3 linked regions of the Lonchura striata genome follow. The protein of the gene in region 3 purifies or fractionates together with the protein of the main gene of each other region. This does not show direct contact. Links are inferred from orthologs where the notes say so. Each region holds a gene or a part of one and is shown on either strand. Other genes may lie near its edges. The genes, in order: ATP6V1F, ATP5F1C and ATP6V1A.

Region 1 (5,471 bases), on a different chromosome or scaffold from region 3:
CCCTTGGATCCCCAGATCACTCTTGGGCTGTGCTGAGCCCCAACTGCACTCTTGGGATGCCCACTGTGTGCCACCTTTGGGTCTCCTGTTGCACCCTTGGACCCTCTGAGGCCACTTCTCCCTCCCTCATGTCACCCCTAGATCACCTTTATGTCCCTCTGTGCCAGCCTTGATGTCCCTTGTATCACATTGCACCCCTGTGTCACCCTTGGTGCCCATGGTGTTCCCCCTGTCCCACTGCCCCCCGCCATGTCCCCCCATTCCCTGGAGTGAACCAGCTGGCATCATTCACAATATCCCCCTGTCCCCCCGTCCCTGATGCCACTGTGGCCTGCCCACAGGAGACAGTGGCAGTGAACCAGCCAGCATCTTTCGCGGTGCAGCTGAACGGGGCACGCGGCGTCATCGACGCCAAAGTGCACACGCCTGCAGGGGTGGTGGAGGAGTGCTACGTGTCCGAGCTGGACAGCGGTGAGGGGACACGGGGACACCACAGGGACCGTGGGGACAGCGGGTCTGCAGATGTGGGGTTGTGGGCACAGGGTACAGGACATGGGGACATGTGATGTGGGGACATGGGGCTGAGAACAGGAGGACATGGGGTATGGGGACAAAGTGACATGATGGCATCCCCCAGACTAGTACACACTGGAGTTCTTGCATGGGATGTGGAGACACAGGGATGTGGGGACATGGGACATGGGGACAGAGGACACAGAGGTATGGGGATGTGTCTTTGTCCCCCTGATATGCACTGGGGTTCCTGCTGTGCAGGAACAGGGTGTGGGGACATGGGGACACGGGGACATGGGGACACGGTGACATGTCTGTGTCCCCCAGACCGGTACGCCCTGGGGTTCCTGCCACGTGAGAACGGAGTGCACTCCATTGACCTGCGCTTCAATGGGCGCCACGTGCCCGGGAGCCCCTTCAACATCCGCGTGGGCGAGCAGAGCCAAGCCGGGGACCCTGGGCTCGTCACTGCCTTTGGGCCAGGCCTCGAGGGTGGCCGCACAGGTGACACTGCTGTGGAGACATGGACAGGGCTGTGGGAGTGGGGTGGGGAAAGAGACACAGCTGTGGTGGTGGCAGGAGAGACACGGCTGTGAAATGGTGATGGGGACAGAGCCATGATGGAGATGTGGCCATGGGTGATGACCACGACGGCATCCTGGTGTTCCCCCTATGATGCCATCCCCATGTCCATGTCCCAGGGGTGCCCTCAGAGTTCCTGGTGCAGACAGCCAATGCGGGGGCAGGAGCACTGGCTGTCACCATTGATGGCCCCTCCAAAGTGGAGCTGGACTGTACAGAGGTCCCTGAGGGCCACCGCGTCACCTACACCCCGATGGCTCCTGGCAACTACCTCATCTCCATCAAGTATGGGGGCCCCCACCACATCGTGGGGAGCCCCTTCAAGGCCAAGGTCACTGGTATGAACAGGGGGGACATGGGGATGGGAAGGGCCATGGGTATTGGGAGGGACGTGGGGATAGAGAGGAACATGGAACTAGCGGGGACATGGGAACTGAAGGGGACATGGGGACCACTGGGGCCACATCATGGGCAGCCCCTTCAGGGCCAAGGTCACTGGTACAGATGGGGTGTGGGCAGACACGGGGATGGGGGGCATGGATAAGGGAGACTGGGGGTGGAGAACATGGGGGTCCCCAGTATGAGATGACGAGGGGTCAGTGATGGGCATGACGGAGGTTTGCAGGAAGGCCACCCTATAGGACCAGGGTGACATGAGTGGGGGGTCCTGGGGGTGACATGGTGTAGGATCCCCAGGATGACATGATGGGGGTGCCAGGGGGAGGGGGGTTGTCCCTGGAAGATGCCCCCCCGCGCAGTGTGAAGGGGAGTCCCATGGTGGGGGCTGACCGTGACCCCTGGTACTCCCCAGGCCCACGGCTGTCGGGCGGACACAGTCTACACGAGACCTCGACAGTGCTGGTGGAGCCGGTGGTGAGGGCGGGCTCGCGGGGCCCCCCGGCCTTTGGGGGGCTCTCCAAGGCCCCGTCAGACGCTGGGCAAGTGGTGGCCCGGGGGCCAGGGCTGGCGGCCGCCCGCCTGGGCCACAAGAACCACTTCACCGTGGACTGCAGCAAGGCTGGTGAGGGCGCCGGGGGTCCAAGGATTGGGGTGGCTGAGGGGGGACCGGGTTGGAAGGGCAGATGGGGGCTTGGCGTGGCGGTCCAGGGGCTCCTAGGGGAGTCCTGTGGGGGCTTGGAGGAGAGGCAGTGGGTCTGCGAGGTGTTCAGGGAATTCCGGGGAGTCTTGAGAAAGGATGGGGCAGGTTAAAGGGGGGCCTGGGGGTCTTGGGAGGGGATGGGGTGGGTAAGGGGAAGAGTCTGGTGGAGGGTCTGGGGCGCAAGGGGGGAGGCTTGGGGTGACCCCGGGGTCTCACGCTTACGGTTCACCCTGCCCGCGTCCCCCCAGGTACAAACATGCTGCTGGTGGGGGTGCACGGCCCCAAGGCCCCGTGCGAGGAGGTGCACGTGAAGCACGAGGGGAACCGCGTGTACACGGTGACCTACAGTGTGCGGGAGCGCGGCGAGTACGTGCTGCTGCTGCGCTGGGGCGACCGCGACGTCCCGGGGAGCCCCTTCCGTGTCACTGCGGCCTGAGCCCCCGAGCCGGGGCAGCGGGCTGGCAATAAAGCGTTGGGAGAGGAACAATGTCCGAGTGATGGCCGGGACACTCACAGCGTGGGGCTGGAGCGAGCCAGGCTCCCGGAGCAGTCTGCTGGACACTAGCTCCAGGGCTGTCCTGAGCAAGACACCACATTTCTGGGGTGTGCAGAACAGCACAGAAGCCTTTGGGGGCGGCCCTGGGGGTCTGGGCCAGGATTGTGGGGCCCGAGGTGGGGGTCCAGAGCAGGACATCCCGGTCCTAGGGAGTGGGGGGGGATCCTGGGGGCTGCAGGATGGTATAATGAGGCCCCAGTGTGAGATGGTGGGGTCTGGAACAGAATACTGGAGATGGCCTGGGAGGGTCTGGAGCAGAATGCTGAGTCCTGAGGGGTCCAAGGGGATTCCATGGCAGAACAGCCTGGGGGTTTCAGGCGGTCCAAGGGGACTCCATGGCAGGACAGTCTGGGGATCTTGGGGGGTTCAAGGGGACTCATGGTAGGACAGCCTGGGGGTCTCGGGGGGTCCAAAGGCATTCCATGGCAGGATAGCCCGGGGGTCTTGGGGGTCCAAGGAGACTCCATGGCAGGACAGTCCAGGGGGTCTCAGGCAGTCCAAGGGGATTCCATGTTGGAACAGCCCGGGGGTCTCGGGGGTCCAAGGAGACTCCATGGCAGGACAGCCCGGGGGTCTCGGGGGGTCCAAGGAGACTCCATGGCAGGACAGCCCAGGGGGTCTCAGGCAGTCCAAGGGGATTCCATGTTGGAACAGCCCGGGGGTCTCGGGGGTCCAAGGAGACTCCATGGCAGGACAGCCCGGGGGTCTCGGGGGGTCCAAGGAGACTCCATGGCAGGACAGACCGGGGGTCTCAGGGGTTCAAGGGGACTCCATGGCAGGACAGCCCGGGGGTCTCGGGGGGTTCAAGGGGACTCCATGGCAGGACAGCCCGGGGGTCTCGGGGGTCCCTGCCAGTGTGCTCAGGGTTGCCTGCGGGGCCCGTGCCGTCTGCTAGAGGGCGCTGTGCAGGGTAGCGCAGCGTCCCCTGAAGGGCACGGCGCAGTGCGCATGCGCGCTTCGCGGGGCGGGGCCGGCGGAGGGGGTGGGGCGATGACACCGGGGGGCGGGGTCATCGGGGCGCGGCTCCTCCCACGGCGGCGGGCGGGGCCGGCGGCGTTGCCGGGCAGCGGCGGGCGGGGCGCTCCGGGGGCGGCGGCGGCGGAACCCGGAAGCGGCGGCGGGTCCCGGTCGGTCCCGGCGGGTCCCGGGCGGTCCCGGCCGGTGCCGAGCCCCACAGCCGCTCCCGGCGGCGCACCCCCAGCCCGCCGGCGCCCGGCAGCGGCTTTCCCGCGGTCCGTATCCCGGCGGATTCCGTTCCCAGCGGGCCCTGGGCATGGCGGGCCGTGGGAAGCTGATCGCGGTGATGGGCGACGAGGACACGGTGACCGGGTTTCTGCTGGGCGGCATCGGGGAGCTGGACAAGCACCGGCGGCCCAACTTCCTGGTGGTGGAGAAGGAAACCAGCCTGGCGGAGATCGAGGAGACGTTCCGGTGTGTGCGGGGAGGAAGGCGGCCCGAGGGCCCGGAGCGGGTCACTGAGGTTCGGGGTGCCGAGGGGTCCCTGGGTGGCCTTGTCCGTCCCAGTGGCTCTCTGAGGGGATCCAGGCGGGTTCTGGGCTCTGGCGGGTCACGGAGTTCCAGGAGGGGAGGCAGAGGCTGGCAGGATCGGGCCGGGGTGCCGGGAGTGTCCCGGGGTCGGGGCCCGAGGAGCCCGAGGAGCGTTCCCCCGCTGGGGCGCCCAGGGCGGTCGCTCCGTGCCCCTCACTCTCCCCTTTCTCCCCTTGGCAGGGGTTTCCTGGCGCGGGAGGACGTGGGCATGATCCTGATCTCGCAGGCGCTGGCGGAGCAGATCCGGCCGGCGGTCGCAGCCCACGCCCGGGCGCTGCCCGCGGTGCTCGAGATCCCCTCCAAGGACCACCCCTACGACCCGGCCCGGGACTCGGTGCTGCGCCGCGCCCGCGGGCTCTTCGCGCCTGACGAGCTGCGATAAAGCCCCCCGGACCCCCGGCCCTCCCCGCACTCCCCTAAATCCTCCCAGATCCCACGCTAAGCTCCCCCAGACAGTTCCCCGGTGCCTCCCGTGTGTGCAGGCCCCCGCGGCACGCCCGAACTGTCCCCTGTGCCCGTGGCCTCTCCGCACCCAGCCACGGGTGACGAGCACCCCCAGACAGCCCCCGCCACCTTCCCAGCACCCCCAAACCGTCCTCCACCGCTCCCCCGACTTCTTCATACTCGATGACTGTGGTAGCCCTCCCTGGTACCCCAAAACAGCCCCTGACACCCACGGGGTCACAAGCCAGGCCTGGGGGTCTCCACCTCAGGGAAACTCACCCAGGGGCCATTGTGCCCCATGCCTGGGGGTCCCCATCCCAAGAAATCCCCAGCCCATCCCAGGGTGCTGCTGGGGGGGTCCCTGGGTTTCCCAGGGTGTCCTTCGGGGTCTATGGTTGCTCCGTGGCTGTGAGGGTGACGCAAGGAACCTCGTGTGTCACTGAGGGTGCCTGGGGTGCCACAGGGGCCCTGAGGGTGACCCGTGACCATGTCTCAGCCGTGTCCCGTGATGGGGAAGTGCCACCACCGTATCCTGCTGAATCCTGCTGGGTCCTGCCTGTAGGCAGGGAGGGACACCAGGGTCAGGGAAAGGAACACCTCAAGGACACTGGGAGTTGTCACTGTGACCTTGTCACCATTCCCCCAGCTCCTCTCCAGCCTCCTCAGCCCCAGCAGAACCTGGGGAGAAGGTTATTTATTGTCCGCCCCAGTGCCCAAGTGTCATTTTGT
Region 2 (7,962 bases), on a different chromosome or scaffold from region 3:
AATTGTGACATTATCAAAACCACTTTTAAAGTATTTGCAGTTTTTTTTTTACAGGAACTTGAATTTAACACAGTTCCCTTAAATGCAATTTCCTGCCAATGGCACACAATCCTACAGTCTTGAAATTTCTACCAGAGACAACAAAACTCTAAACTAAACTTTTGGACCCCATCCTTTTTACCTTTGAAGCAGGCCTCTGATCTTGTCACCTACTCCAACCACCATAACCTCCTTCCCTGCATTTGAGAGGTTGGTAATTTCATTCTTCAAGGTTTTAGCAATAGATGTATGGATAGCACCACACAGGCCTCGGTCAGAGGACACACCAATAAGGAGGTGCTTCTTCTTGTCCTCAGGTGGCTTTATTTCTGCTTTCTCATACAGAGCTGAAAAAAAAAAAAAGATCATAACATTTTTCAAGGGTGCCAAAAAAGCTAGTAAGTAATAAAAAATGCTCTGAAATATTCTAACTAAAACCAATACCAAAGGGGCTCCAGATCTCAGCCAGATTAATTTTATCTCCTTTGCAATTGTTCCAAGTTTGCACACGGTCAGACCAGAAGTGAGGAATAAACAATTCAGAGCCAGTCACAGCTCTGATCAGATGTCACTCAGTGAAGTTCACTGTGCAAATTCTTTTGGAAACAGACTACTGGAAGGTTAAAAAGCCTTGGCATTTTATCACCACTATGAAAACCTCCTCTTCTAATCCCCCATCACTAAGTGCAAGATCTTTCTCTCACACAGAGCTCCTGTTCCATAGACCCTCGCAGGCTTCAGCTCCCTCTCAGCTCTTGCGTATTTGGCTGCAGAAACCATCTTCATGGACTTGGTGATCTTCTGGATGTTCTTGATGGACTTCAAACGCCTGGTGACTGCAAGGTTAAGAGTTGAAGGTCATGGGCTGTACTGGGCACTGTGACTCAAGCCCAAACAACAAAATGCCAGCAAGAGCCATAAAAAAATATTTTGCCATGTTCCTCAAAGAAGAAGAAATAAATAAACAAACATCACAGAAATAAACCTCATGAAAGACCTTGGTACTTGCAGTAAGACTAAGAATGTAGCTAACACAGATTCATCTTTACAATAGAGATGTTATCTCCTTCAGATATAACATTCATTTAGTATTTATCCCAACATGAAGTCTATTTACTATTCTCTTTGCTTCCACCTCTACCTGTTTCACAAATATATTATTTGAGGTATAATGTCATCTTTCACAGATGACAAGCAGAGGAAACAAACAAACAAAAAAGTCCCCATAGTGTGAAGACAGAATAAATTTCCTCCTCTGTTTAGACTGTGGTAAAATGACATTTATAAAAACACTAATGCAAAAAATAACCAAAACAGGTATCCCATTGACAAGCACAATTCCAAGGCAATATCCCTATATAAGAACTATGAGGGATGGCTTAAGGAAGCATTATCACACTGAAACCATTCAGTCAATCCTTTTTCCCCCCAAATGCTGCACAAAAGCACAAGGAAATAAACATAAGATAAACTAAGTTAACTCTTATAGGTGAGCAGAAATCTGGTTTAGCACATACAGTAAAAATATTTTTAAAATCTATTTGAGTAAAACTATAAAAAGACATTTAAATTACTGCCAAAGCCACTTCAAGCAACTCCTTTTCTGAAGGACACTTGTTTAATGTGATTAGCACTGCAGGCCTATATATCATTGTTATACATCACAATCATACCCAACAGAGGCTAAACAGTATGCTTTAACATATGGTTTTCAACATATGGCTTTCCTGCAACATTTTGCCTCTCTCAAGAGCAGTTAAACCCTTTACTTACTGTCTTTTAGCGTTGCCATATTCCTGACTTGGCCCCTGAAAAGGAATGCAGGAGAAATTAGGATAATTCACTAGCTCTCCAGCAAACCAACACCTGCCAAGGGCAAGTCCCTTTCAGGGTGATGTTGCTGTTTCTTACAAAACGTGTGGCAGAGAGAAGCCACTCTTACCTGTGGCTTGCATGCACACCTTCATCCTTCCCTACCTTATATAATTTCACAGAATCAATTAGGTTGGAAAAGACCTCTGAGACCATCAAGTCCAACCTATGACTGAACACCACCTTATCTAAGTGGTGCCCTAACTAAGCCACGGGCACTGAGTGCTACATCCAGTCTTTCTGCAGATACCTCCAGGGACAGGGACTCCACAACCTCCCTGGGCAGCTCATTCCAATGCCTAACCACGACTTCTGTGAAGAAACTGTGAAGAAACAACCTAAACCTGTGTTGTCATGTCGCTGAGAGGAGGCCAACTCCCACCTGACTGCGCTGCGCTGTCAGGGAGCTGTAGAGTGATAAGGTCACCCCGAGCCTCCTTTTCTCCAGGCTGAGCTCTTCCAGCTGCTCTTCAGAGGACTTGGGCTCCAGACCCTTCCCAGTTCCCCTTCTCCGGACTCGCCCCTGCACCTCCGAGTCCTCCCTGAGCTGAGGGGCCCCGAAGCGGCCCCAGGACTCGGCAGCGCCGAGCACAGAGAAAGGTTTAACGCCTCGGCTAAGGGCACGGGGCAAACGAGGGCATTAGAAGGGCAAATTAGAAAGAAATATTTTTAAACAAAGCTTCGTGCAATGCAATTCATTTCTAAAGGCTATTAAAACGAAGCAGAGGAGGCCAGAGCAGGGTCTCCTGCCATGTATAAACTTGTCCCTTTAACCCTTGCCTGTCCCATTCTCCCACCCACCGAGGACGGAGCCTCCCTCCCTGCGGGTCCCCGCTGCCCTCATCTCCCGGCACCGGCTCCGCCACCTCCCCTCAGAGCCCACAGCCCCTGACGGGCCGCCCGCGGCCGCGACCCCGCCGCCCCCAGGCGCCGCACGGCCAAGGGAAGCCATCCCCCCCTCACCCCGCAGAGCCGCCCCGGCCATCGGGACGCGTTCCCCCGTGCCCAGAGCGCCCGTCCCAGCCCGTGCCGGTACCATTGCGGCTGGACCAGCGCGACCGCGCCGCCCCGGGCGAACATGGCGGCGCCTCCACCACAGCCCCGCTGAAGGTCAGCGCGCCCGCAGCGCGCCTGCGCGGCCCCGCCGGGATCCGCTTCCAGGGCGCCGCCGCCATTTCCGGAGGGGGCGGGAGCCGGACCGGGACCGGGACCGGGAACAGAACCAGGACCAGGACCTGACCGGCGTCATGGGGAAGTCGGATTTCCTCAGCCCCAAGGCCATCGCCAACCGCATCAAGTCGAAGGGGCTGCAGAAGCTGCGCTGGTACTGCCAGATGTGCCAGAAACAGTGCCGTGATGAGGTAACTGCGGGCGCTGGGGGGGTCCCCGCTCCTTCGGGCGGCTCCGGTCCCCGTCTAAGGAAGGAGTCCCGGTTCTCCTGGGGTCAGCTCTTGTGGCAGCTCCGATCTCATGGAATGGCTTGGTTTGGGAGGACCTTAAAGCTCATCCACTTCCAACCCCCTGCCATGTGCAGGGACACCTTCCGCTGTCCCAGGATGCTCCAAGCCCTGTCCAGCCTGGCCTTGGACACTTCCAGGGATGAAGCAGCCACAGCTGCCCTGGGCACCCTGTGCCAGGGCCTCGCCACCCTCCGAGGGAAGAATTTCTTCCCAATATCCCATCTAGCCCTGCCCCCTATCAGTCTGAAGCCCTTGTCCCTCGTTCTGTCAATCTCCCTTGTAAATGTCCCCAGTGCTATCGAGGGGAACATTGTGGGAGCTGCGATCATACTTGTAGGAGTTTATTTGTAGTAGTTTATTTGTAGGATTTTTAGTAATCTCTTCATCTGTGAGTGTTGCAAAATGAGACGAAGACAAGCCAAGTATTTATTTCTGCTTTATAGAATGGCTTCAAATGTCACTGCATGTCTGAGTCTCACCAGAGGCAGTTGCTGCTGGCTTCTGAAAATCCTCAGCAATTCATGGATTATTTCTCTGAGTAAGTTTTCTGTATATTCTTACCCAGATCTTCATGCCTGTGTCAGGTTTGCACAGCCATACCCCTAAGATCCAATAATGCCCCATTGAAGACACTTTATTGTGATACATGTTAGTGTCAGGTCTTCTTGTAATTGAAAATTACAATGCCACGTTTAAACTTTAGATAAGAGATTTCATGATTTTATTCAGTTTTGTCTCATGTTGTAATCCTGTTTAAAGTTGCTCTGTGTTAAAAATACATCACTTTTCTGTCCCTGCTGAATGACTGCCACACACACACAAGCTAAAAGAGCCATAACAATGAAAGAGCAAGTCAGGGGAGGGACTGATATGCCCCAGCTTCTCCCAGGCCTTTGTCCAGCTGACTTACGTGACAGCTGGGATGACTGGAACTGTCCTCAGCACGAGTTTGAAGTGAGGTTTTATGCTGCAGCCCTGGGGAATTAGCAGGGAGATGAGTGATCCATCTGCTCCATCCACTCCTCTGCCCTTTGTCCTGCCCTCTGCTCTGTGTCTGTCAGCCTGGGAAGACACCTGGTAACCAAACACCAGCAATTAGTGGGAAGTGTTGAGATTCCTTTGCTCCATTTTATGCCTTTGAGAGGCTGTTACTGTCTTGTACATTTGAGGTGTGTGCATGTATCATATTGTGTTTCATCCTGTGTTTGATCCTGGTCTGCTGCAAAAGGGAAATGTGTCTGAATATTGTCACACTCAGCTCAAAAGAGTAATGAGATGTTTAATTCTTAATGACAGCAGAAAATTGCTTCTTAGTTGTTAAAGCTTACTAAAGATATTTTTTTTTTTATTTCCTTAGGGAATTCCGAAATGATTTCCTAGAATTGCTCAGAAGGCGATTTGGTAAATATTTTGCTGTTTTTTTGTTTTTCTTAGTGTCTTTTGTTGGTTCAGTGCAAGCTACATAATAGTAATAATAATTCTGTATTTTAGGAACAAAGAGAGTCCACAATAATATTGTGTACAATGAATACATCAGCCATCGAGAACACATCCACATGAATGCCACACAGTGGGAGACACTGACTGATTTTACAAAATGGCTGGGGAGAGAAGGTAGGTGTACCTGCTCAGGGAAGTCTTAAAATTATTGGGTAATTGAATTCTTGGTAATTGATCAGTAAATATGTTAGTTCTTTTTTCTTTCTTCCCCTCTCCTCCTGTATATACAAGAAAAGATTTCCAAACATATTTCTGTGCTAACCATTAGGAGTTTGCTTGTGGAAAATGTGAGACGTCTGGGATGAGTACATCACTTGTGAGCTTTTCTTGCTTTCATCTGCTGGTCTGTATTTACTGGATACACTGCTAAATTCTGAATCAACTGCTAACAGTTGCCATTTAAAAATTACAGATTATTTCCATGTCTGAGGTGACAAGAAGCAAGCAGTCACTTTAATTCCTGGCCTAGTGGAAGGGTTAGAGCTGGAGATCTGCAGTTCTGTGTTTAGTGGGAGGAAGAGAGATTTAATGGCACTGTGGTGTGACAGAAAGTTTACTTTGGCTCTGGATGCCCTTGCTCTTCAGGATACATCCAGCAGTTGCAGAGTTTGGAAAGTCTCTTGCCAGAGTTGGTAACAATAGCACAGTACTGCAATATTTCCTTTAGTATGGTACTGTGAGTGCATATCATTTATACATGCTAGATTTCTGTCTTCTTCCTTGTTAAAACAGTGGGAAGGAAACATTTTCTTCAATAAGGAAAGTCTTGTAAAACACTTCATGCCCTTTGTGATGTACACTGGCCTGTGTCCAAACACATCTGGGTAGCTGAGGGCAGAAACACGTGGTACAGATAATTCAAAGTCAGTTTTAGCAGCCCACTTGTCTCTGGTGAAGTATCTGCATTGCTACAGTGAACATGGACTAAAAATGATCTTGATATTGTTAATTTTACTTTGTTTTTGCTTGACCTTTTAGGTCTTTGCAAGGTTGATGAGACTCCTAAAGGCTGGTACATTCAGTACATTGACAGGGACCCAGAGACCATTCGCAGGCAGCAAGAACAAGAGAGGAAGAAGAAACAGGACCTTGATGACGAGGAAAAAACTGCTAAATTCATTGAGCAACAAGTTAGAAGAGGTTTGGAGGGGAAAGAACTGGTGAGAAAAATTGCACTCTGTGTGAACCTTCAGCTCAAAGCTCTTGTGGTTAAGTCAGTGGGGAGTTTGATGCTCCTGGAAGCCTTGCACTGGTATTTCCTTTGCTTCCTAACTTGGATTACATTGTACCCAGCTTGCAGTAGTAGTAAAGAAGAAATAATTACTGCTCTTCTAGTGATTAGTGATTTAAAAATCACTCTAGAATTTACAAAGCAGGAGCAAATAATCCATTAAGCTGCATGATGTCTTAATTTGTGGTATTTCACAGCTATGTAGGGCTGCAGATAACAAGTACCTGGTGCATTGAGGAGGCTGAGATAAATAACCAGGGGGATCTGGCATAATCAAGTTCACCTAGTGAAAAGTTCTATTTTGGTGGTTATTTGGGATCTGTTTACTTGGCATCATGCTATGACCCCCATACGCGTTGCCTGGGGCTGAAATCTCCCATTTGATCCTGGGTATTGATAGTTACATTTAAATGCTGTTGTAAGCAATTACCTGCTTCTTAATTTAAAATTAATTGAAATTTAAATGGTCTGAGTCTTCGGTGCCAAAAAATTGGAAAGATACCAGAATTTCCTTATTTGAATTATTAGTCTTTCCAGAAACCAGTCAGATCATGCTGGTTCAGATAGAGGAAACTGATGCATCAAGGCTACTTGCCTTTTATGCTGAAATTGAGCGAGTTTAGGCAGCATCTCTATTAATTGGAGAGTTGCACAGGAGCCTGTAGTGAGATGATGTTTTCAATTTTAATCTTTTACAAATCAGGCCAGGTTGAATATTACAGTTACTGTCTGTAAAACTGAGCTGATCAATGATTATGATACCTTGACTCAGTTTTCTGTTTGATTTTTTAAATGTGCTTGGTTTTTTTTATTTGGCAGGAAATGCCAGTCTATACTGAACTGAATAGAGAAAACGAAGAAGAAAAAGGTAACTAGATTTTGATGGATGTAATTTTTGTGATTCAGATGAAATGAGCATTGAAGCCTGCTTGGTACTTTGAGATCAGTTATAAAGAGCATTGGAATGTGGAAATGCAGAGTATTCTGTATTACAAAGTTTAATTGACTTTAAAAGCTAAACCAAAGTATAGATTAGTAAATATTTTCAAATTTATGATTCCTTTCTATTTGCAGATTTTAAAAATTGTTAACATCCTTCAATGCAGTTATTTTAAAATATAGAAATAGAGTAATGTCTCTTTATTTTTTTAGTTACATTTAATTTAAACAAAGGAGCAAGTACTTCAGTCGCAGCATCTTCTAAAACAAGGTGAGAAAAGAATTTCAGGCCAACCTTTACTGTTACAAAGCACTTCTATGACAATGGTATTTGTATGAACAGGAAGGATTGTCTTGTCCTGATATATTTGGAGTCTAACCTCTCATCCTCTCTTGGTGTTCAGAAGGGTGACTAGGTGACTTCATGGTTGGTTTTGTATTTAAAATGGGTGAGTGGGTGTAGCTTAAATGTGAGCTGTGAGGAGCCTTCTTGAATTCTCTGTGCTTCATGGCAGATGTCCATACAGTAACAGGCAGTCACAGGTTCCTCCATGGAGGGTGGGAAAGGGATCCAGCCAAGCTTTTGCAGTGATGCCATCTAGTCCCAGCTGCCTTCTATGAATAGATATTCCTGACTTGTTAATTTTAGTTCCTAAAAGGTTTGATTGCCTTGTCTAATTGGAGGCAATGCTTTCTTTGGTCATCGTTTAAGCAGCTAAATCTACCTGAAATAAATCTTCCCAGAGCTCTGGAATTTAATTGTCATCTTGTGACCACAAGCAGTGCAGGACAAAAGGGATCAATAATGCAAATAATTCTGAATTACAGCAGTCTGGGGAACTGTTTGTTGAACAGTACATCTTCTCATGTGAGGCAATATTGTAATTAAATGTATTCCAGGTAAAAAGAAAGCTTTTCCCT
Region 3 (7,902 bases):
AAGCCAGGCCTTGGAAGGCAAAGTCTGTCAGAACAACCAAATCATGTATCTAAAAAGGTCAATGTTTCTGAGACATGGGAGTGTTGAACTTGAGAGCTTGACAGACACAGAAGAAATAAATGCTTGGATGAAATAAAGTAACCAACCAAAAAATATTTATAAGTGCAGAACTTAATGCCATGAGAGATGACCAAACCCAAGAATTTGGTATAAGCTTAGCTGTCCACTCACAAAGGGAAAAGTGGAGAGAGAGCATCAAAGACAAGCAAAAAGCTTTTTATACCATAAAAGATACAACAATGACAAACAGAAGATCCAGTCAAAACCAGTTTTGCATGTTGGAGATTTAGGTGATTATTGGCTTATTCTGTAGGAAAAAAAAAAGGCTGAAAAGTTTAAATTCATTCTGCTTCTTCGGCTGGAGTAGGACCCTGTTTCTCTCTGCCCAGCTGGAAGGCTAAAGAAGTCACATGTTTTAAGATGTTCAGTAAAAATGAATGAGCATGATATTCCAGTTGACTGCATGGTCTGTTTTCATTGGCCAAATTCCAGCCTAAAAAAAAAAAATCATACGGATACCATTGTTCAACAATGCCTCAGTATTTCCAAGTCTGAAATCCCCTATTTTTTAACCTACAAAACAAGCATGGAGAAAAGAATATATTTCAGGCAATGTAGCATTGGGTTGCTGCATGGTTTGCATTTTGTAGGGTTTTCTTAAAAAGAGAAAAAAACAGAGGTATTACTACTTGCTCAGACGTAGCATTCAACATTTTATGGTCAACATTAAAGTAACCAAAGAGCTCAACGAGATTATCTTGCAATCCTTTTACTCTTTCTAAAAGAGTAATTAGGAATGCAGCCATAGCTCATAAACATGCAATTTCAAAGCAAGAGGGAAACCCATCAGTAGGAACTTTCAGGGCTTGAGAACCCAAAGACAACCATTATGGCATGAAATCACAAGGGGGAATGCACAGTGCCTCTAAAAGGATCTTCAGGGGAATCATCTGGTAACCTGCTGGTCTATAGGAGCTTTGGATGACAATGTGTAACACCAGCACCATGCAAGTCTGGGAGATAAATGCATGAAGTCATCCTGGGAAAAAAATTTAGATAACAGAAGGACACTTAAGGCCCACAGCCTTCATAAATGAGGGCAAATGAGGCATAAAACTGTTAATACACACTTAGACCAAAACAAAAGCTAAATTTAAGCTAATGCTCTATAAAAATGAAGCTACACTAACCACTCATGGCTCAACCCTATTAGCACTACCTGTAGAAAATAATTCTTGATTTGGAAAACCACAAGGCAGTATTTACGGGAAACAGAGATCTTGTGTTACTATTGCAACACAAGACTGCAACCCCCCTTTGAACAGTCAGCTGATGCCAGCAGCCATTTTCCACTGTTGCCTTAATTTGTCCTTCCCTGTTCTCTCAAGCTGATGTCCATGGTGATTTAGTACTTCTCAATGTCAGACTTTGCCACCTGATCATAAAATTAAGACTAATTTTTTCCCCACATGAAAGAATAAAGCTTTTCCAGAGGATTTTGCATTACAGACTGACAGGCACAGCAAAAATAATCTGCAGTACTTTTGGTAATTCAAAGACCTGTAGATTCTGATCTCACTTCACATATTCTTACATAGAAAATAATAAAACGTAGATATTGTTACATGTTTATATTTGCTGGTCATTGAAAAGGCCTTGAAAGCACAGAGAAGCCAAACATTCAGCTGCTGCAGATCTGCACAGTGCAGAAGTCAGTATAAATACAGCACAACTTACAACATAGTGAAGATCTGCCTCAGTTACTCAAACTTCCACTTGCAAATGCCAGCTTGTATTTCGCATGTTCTTCCTAATAAATCACTTCTAGCAGTCTATCAGCAGGTTTTCCTATTTTTCCACCCCCTCTCCACTTCAGCAAGCAGAATTAGCATTTAAAATACCGTGCTAGATCAAATAGCCAGTGTACTTTGCTGAAGTATTGCATTACAATGAATAAAATGATCACCAAATTGCTTTTATGCCCAGCAGAAGAGCAAATTCTATGAGAAAAGACAGTAAAATTTCAGGAAGGAAGACTTCACTTTCTCCTAAGAAAGTAAATTACTTTGGGCAGCTGCACGGAATGGATGGATCCTGACACAAGTGTCACATACTCCAATGTGACAGCTACCTGTCACATGAACAATATCATCCAGAATCCAGCTGTGTAAGATTTTTCTCTTGCCTTTAAGTGAATGCCAAGGGTGATGTCTGAAACACCTCATCTGAGGCAAAATTTTGTCACTGGCTACAGGAATAGGAAGCACATCTGATGTGCCACCAAGATATTCAACTGCAAAGCAACAACAGGGGGGTTCTTCTGCCACGGATGGCTGCAGGGAGAAGCCCGCAGCGGAATTCCTCTTCCATAACCGCGCTGCTCTCTCTCTGCTGCGCTGCGGTCAAGGCACCGAAAGATTCAGATCCACCCACTCAAGATGGTGGGATGACCTGGCGCTGGAACCCAGCCGCTATCGCCCTGTCTCTTTTCGGTAAGGGATTCTGGCATAACCCTAAAGCATCTCACTGGGTGTCTTCGATCGAGCGCTCGGACGGTTTTTCCTTGAGGGGCTGCCTCGCTCTGCAGCTCTGCGCTCCCTGCGAAGCGGGGCCGGGAAGCGCACGGCCGGCTCCCTGCGGGCCGTGCCGCCGGGACACGGCTCCCTGCGGCCCGGCCGCCCCCCTCCCGGCTCCCGCCGCTCCGCAGCGCCGGGGCCGCGCTCCCCCTGCGAGCGGCTCCGCAGGGAGACCGCGTCCTTCCCGGGCAGGGTGCGAGCGGGGCGGAGAGCGGCGACAGCCGACCCCCCGCTCCTTTACCGCAGAGAAGGGCAGCCCCGGGCGCAGCTCGGGAGCGGCGGAGGCAGCGGTGCGAGGCAGGGGGAGAGGGGTCGGGCGTCTCACCTGGGCCGGCCCGGCGCGCCCGAATCCGCCCGAGTCCCTCCGCCGGCGGCAAAGGAGGCGCTGGATCAGCTGACGCCGGGCCCCGCGCGCATGCGCTGCGCCGCACACCGGAAGCGCCGGGCGCGAGCCCTGCCCGACTCCGGGCGGAGCTTCGCCCGCCCTGCCGGGGCCGCTGCCGCGCAGGAGCGCGCCGGGCGCGGTGGGGCGCGCCGATTGGTGGTTCCGTGTCACGTGACAGCGAGCACGCCCCGTCCCCGAGACGAGCGGGGCCTCCCCATCCTCTCCCCGCCCCGCCGGGCGCGGCGCGTGCGCGGCGGGGGCGCGCGGGAGGGGCGGGGCGGTCATGGCGGGCGGGGCGGGGACGCGCGCGCGGCGTGAGGTGAGGGGTCACGGGGCGGGGCGGGGCGGGAGGAGGCCCATGTGGAGCGGGAGCGGGATTGGGATCGGGAGGAGACTGAGCTGCCCGCGCTGAGCACGGGGAGGCCGGAGCCACACCCGCACCGCCGGGCCCTGGACGCAGCCAGCGCGGACGCCGGGCAGGCCGCGGACGCACCATGAAGGGGTGAGTGCGGGGCTCGGCCCGGGCCGGGCCCGCCCGGGAGGGGAGCTGGGAGCGGGGCGGGCCCGGGCGGCGCGGCGGGCGGAGAGGGCCGAGCGGTGCAGCCGCCTCGGAGCTCGGGGGGGTGTTGCTGCGTCCCTCCCGCCCTCTGGGACAGGGCCCGTGGCCCGGCGTCCCTCCGGGGAGAAAAGGCGGCGGTGTCGCCGCTGGCGCCCTTTGGGCTGAGCAGGAGCCGCCCGTCAGGATGGTGCCGCCGCCGGAGCGAGGATTCTCCGCGCTGAGCCCGCGCTGGAGCGGGCGGGACGCGGCGGCTCCTCGTGCTCGGGGGGATCCCGCCCTGCGGGGTCTGGGATCTGCAGAGCGGGCGGGGATGCTGGCCGGGCTGTCCTCCCTGGCTGCTCCTTGTCTGGCGGTAGCAAAGAAGCGCCGCTCACTGTGTGCGAAAAAGCTGACAGCCTCGGGTGTGTGTGGTTTTGCAGCGCTATTGTGTGTAACATCCTCTTAGCACTTTTGTTGGTTTTTTAAGTCTTGAATTGCTGCGTGGAGGTTGTAGAGCGTAGATGGATGACAAACGAGCTGTGTCCTGTGTCATGTTCCTGTAGCACACCCGCTGCTTTGGGTCTGGCATCGCTTCTTTCTGTCTCCTGAAAACTAGAGATTTCAAATCTGGGTGGCTGAAAATACTGATTTCCTTCTCAGTGGGGGCAGTGAGGTGCCGTTTCTGTACAGGAGACCGGAGGCCTTTACACTCACAGTTGTGCTTTGGTGTCAGATGACCTGCCTGACCTTGTCCAGGTCACTTTGGGACAGGTTTTTCAATGTTGGCTAAGCCACCTAATGTTTATTAATTTCAGCATCATTTGTGCACCACAAAACGTGCTTGTTCCAGTTCTGTGCCTCAGTTTCTTCACAGGCACAAAGGAAGCTGTCCTCAGCTGATTCTCAAAAGAGCATTAAACCGTCCCCTTGGAACTGGTGTTATGCAATGATGGGTATTATTATTCCAGTTTGGCAGCTTAAGGCAGGGTGAATGGAAGCTGAATCACTTAAGCTTTTACTAAGAAATGGTAAGGGGTTTAGCTTATTAGCAGTAGGGGTGAGGTCATACAAGTCTGCTTGATAACAGACTCTTGGCTGGTTTTTACAGCGTGTAAGCAGCTTCAGGCATCCTGAGGGGCTGGCAGGTGTCTGTAGAAAGAGGTTCAGGGATGACTGCAAATAAACAAACTCTCAGCTGACATAAGATAGGTGTGTTTGGGATATTGGACAAACCTTTATCCACCTGCACCACCCTACATAAAAAGGGACACCCCCACTCTTAGTCCCCTTGTAATGAGGACGCCGGAGTTTGCGGGAAGAGCAGCAGCACGGATCAGCCAGGATGAGGTGGCAGTTGATGCGATCGTTGTTCAGCAGCGCTCCCGACAGAACTGGGTTTCCTTTTATCCTTTGTTGACCGTTCTGCTGTTTGCTAACAGCTTAGCCTTGCTTTGCTCGTGTGTCAGTGATGGGATGGGGTTACTGGGACCTGGATGTGTGAGTGGGAAAGCGGCCCAGGCGTGCCAGGCTGGTGCTGTGGGGATCTCCTAGCAGGGCATGGCTGGAGCTGTCTGTCGTGCTCAGTGCTCCCTGAGGAACTGAGCCTGGTTTTGCTTGCACTGATCAGGAGTTCTCATTTCATGGACTTTTTTACTTCTTGTAACTTTTTTTTTTTTTTTTTTAAATAAAAGGCTATGGAGAAAAAACCTGCATACCACTCTTCTGCTTCCAGAGCACCCAACTTTATTTCTGTCACTTTACTTTTACTTACAGACAGCTTTGTTTCTGGTTCAACTTTAGGGCTTATTGCTTTGGGTTCTGTACTTGGTATTTCTGCTTATGGTACTCTTTCATCTCTTTGAAGAACAGCATATTCCTGTCTTGCCAAAACACTGTTAGCACCACACAGAAAGTTCTGGTGCAGAATAAATTCATATTCCTGTGCAGATCCTCATATTGAATCCAGGTGTTCTCTAAAAATTCAGATGGAGGCAAATATGCCGACAGAGCTCAGATTGAAAAATATCCCCATTTAAATACAATGAGAATCAAAGAAGTAGAGAATAGTTCAAAAGGAATGTATAAATTACACAGGGGTACTTTGGAAAAGATCTAAATTGTTTTTTAAGTTACAAGGATCGGTGAAGATCCCTAAAGTACAAGTACTGTCAAAGGATGGGTCCAAAAATAGATCTAAAGCTCCAGCTCCCAGCATATAGAAACTGATGTGCTTGAAGGGATCTGGTCTGTCTTCAGTACTGAATCCAAAATTGTGGACAAGTCCCTCTGAACAAACTGATGCCCTGTGACTGTTTTTTCTGGGAATATATGCACTGCATTGTTACCCACACCACCAAATGCAGAGGTGATTTTGGAAGCACTTAGAGCAGCTGATGTTTTATCAGCTGTCATTATGAAGAGTCTACTTTGGCAAAGAATTAAAAAAAGAAACTATCTGATTCATTGGCATGAAATTTCAGATCTGAAAGACCCTGTAGTCAATGTATGTGTCTTGCAGCCTTCTTTCTTAGCTCTCTGAATTCAAAATAGCACATAGATGTGTGTTAATAGTGCATAGCAGGTTGTAGGGTCTGTGTCATCAGGGTATTTCAGGTTAGGTGACCTCTTCTACCCTGGCCCTCTGGTTTCAGAAATAGCAGAAGATTTTTGTGATTTCTCAGCTGCTTACAATTTTGTGGATTTTCTCTTATTTGATGAGTTAAACACCATCTTCTCAACTGGGAACTGCTATTAGCTTTCACCTGGTTTTGTGAGACTTGGCTTTATGTTCACTCTATCCTCACCTTCTGAATAATTTTAATAGAGTCTCATTATGTTTCCCTTTTTTTCTTAAATGTGACTTGAAAAACTGAGGTAATTCACTGTTCTGTTAGTGAATCTTGTGATTCTGTAGAGATTAATTTATTTTTTAATTTATTATATGTTATTGTTGTTAGTTCTTGAATTTGAAAATCTATTTTAGAACTGTGTTTGCATGAGGAAAAATACCAGTGGAAGAGACTCGGGTTCCACTGTCTGTAGTAATCTGGCTGTTTTTATATAGCAGATGTAAATAATCCTCCCTGCACTTTGTTGTATTCATGGTGTTGATTCACTTGTTGCTCAGTGGTTTTGTGTTTTCATTACCAGTTGTTATGCTACTGGTTTTCAGGAGAGAAAACTCAAAGTCTTGCACTGATTCTTGAGCATTTGCCGATTGCTGTTCATGACATTTGCTGTCTTAAAAGTAAGGGTGCATTTCTAATTTGTTTTAGTTCAGATGAAACCTATGAAAGTAAGGTATCCAGCCTTTCCCTGATGGCCTTACCTAAAAATCACATTACACAAGGCTATTGCAGGACCTGCATGCTCCATTGCGTGCATGTACCTGCGGTGTGACCAGGATTGTCACATACATGGAGCCGGTAGGGCATGTTACAAGCAGGGCCCAGTGCCTGGGCTCCTGTGCATGTGCTGTTTTGTCACATTAACATCTCCAGTTTTGATATGAAACACCTGGGAGATTGTCATGCAGCAGCACATCTTGAGCCATGGGGTGGAGAACTGATTGAAGCAGGGACTAAGTAGAGCGCTGTGTGTTAAACCAGCCTTAGAAAGAAGTGTGCACTAAATTGGGTAGGACTCTCCTAGGAGATTGCCTCTCAACTTTGTCGTGTTTGCAGCTAAGTCTCAGGTTTTGTAGTTTCTAAGGGTCCTTATGACTTGCTGTGGAAGAGTCCTACAGGCTGTATTCTACACAACAGGTACTTGCTGCCTCCTAACCCTGAGACTTTGCAGGCTTGTGCTGCTCTGGCTGCCTTGCAGGAGAGACATCACAGCTGGGGAGTACTGAATAGAACAGAAAAATAACTATGTTGTTTCTGAAAGTGTGGGGAGTTGTTAAGGTAAGCTCTGATACCTCTGCTTGTTTTGCCTGGGTTCAAGGAGTAAACCTTTCAAGGTCCTGAAGATGATCATGTTTCTGAGGAGAACAGGGAGGGTTTTTTCTCTCCTGAGTTAGAATGACAGAGTTTGTGCAGAGCTGCTGAATTGTTTCCATTTGCTCGGCACAGTGCTAAGCTTAACATATATGGGAGGAAGTTCCAAGTTTATGAGAAAACTGCTGAATGGTCATATGCACTGGAGTCAGGACAAAAAAGGTAATTGAGCTTGAAAATCACTTTATTTTTAGGCTTTTTCTGAACCTAGAAATGTCCAAGTGTGAGCTAAAGTCTGCATTTATTTTCATGGACGGTAAATTTAGACCTTGCCTATATGCCAGCTTACAAATGGCTTAACAGCTTCTAAATGAGTTTATAAAAAAATCAGTTCAGTTTATTATA

What was found.
Region 1: the proteins of ATP6V1A (region 3) and ATP6V1F fractionate together in Homo sapiens (co-fractionation; 3 studies listed by BioGRID and IntAct, with this or other methods). This does not show direct contact. The link is inferred for Lonchura striata from reciprocal best matches to the Homo sapiens genes ATP6V1A and ATP6V1F.
Region 2: the proteins of ATP6V1A (region 3) and ATP5F1C fractionate together in Homo sapiens (co-fractionation; 3 studies listed by BioGRID). This does not show direct contact. The link is inferred for Lonchura striata from reciprocal best matches to the Homo sapiens genes ATP6V1A and ATP5F1C.

The regions. Positions count from the first base shown.
Region 1 is NC_134607.1:73,138,953-73,144,423, forward strand, and holds ATP6V1F (V-type proton ATPase subunit F), read left to right. Parts: upstream 1-3,876; 5' UTR 3,877-4,023; coding exon 4,024-4,181; intron 4,182-4,478; coding exon 4,479-4,680; 3' UTR 4,681-4,890; downstream 4,891-5,471. Other genes in the region: FLNC (filamin-C), read left to right, coding at 342-471, 841-1,017, 1,215-1,433, 1,907-2,116, 2,443-2,630. UniProt on the Homo sapiens protein: Subunit of the V1 complex of vacuolar(H+)-ATPase (V-ATPase), a multisubunit enzyme composed of a peripheral complex (V1) that hydrolyzes ATP and a membrane integral complex (V0) that translocates protons.
Region 2 is NC_134607.1:68,976,428-68,984,389, forward strand, and holds the start of ATP5F1C (ATP synthase F(1) complex subunit gamma, mitochondrial), read right to left. Parts: upstream 3,077-7,962; 5' UTR 2,992-3,076; coding exon 2,948-2,991; intron 1,848-2,947; coding exon 1,813-1,847; intron 876-1,812; coding exon 744-875; intron 387-743; coding exon 182-386; intron 1-181. Other genes in the region: KIN (DNA/RNA-binding protein KIN17), read left to right, coding at 3,159-3,272, 3,815-3,909, 4,729-4,772, 4,863-4,985, 5,850-6,031, 6,922-6,970, 7,255-7,312.
Region 3 is NC_134604.1:28,288,870-28,296,771, reverse strand, and holds the start of ATP6V1A (V-type proton ATPase catalytic subunit A), read right to left. Parts: upstream 3,095-7,902; 5' UTR 2,962-3,094; intron 1-2,961. UniProt on the Homo sapiens protein: Catalytic subunit of the V1 complex of vacuolar(H+)-ATPase (V-ATPase), a multisubunit enzyme composed of a peripheral complex (V1) that hydrolyzes ATP and a membrane integral complex (V0) that translocates protons.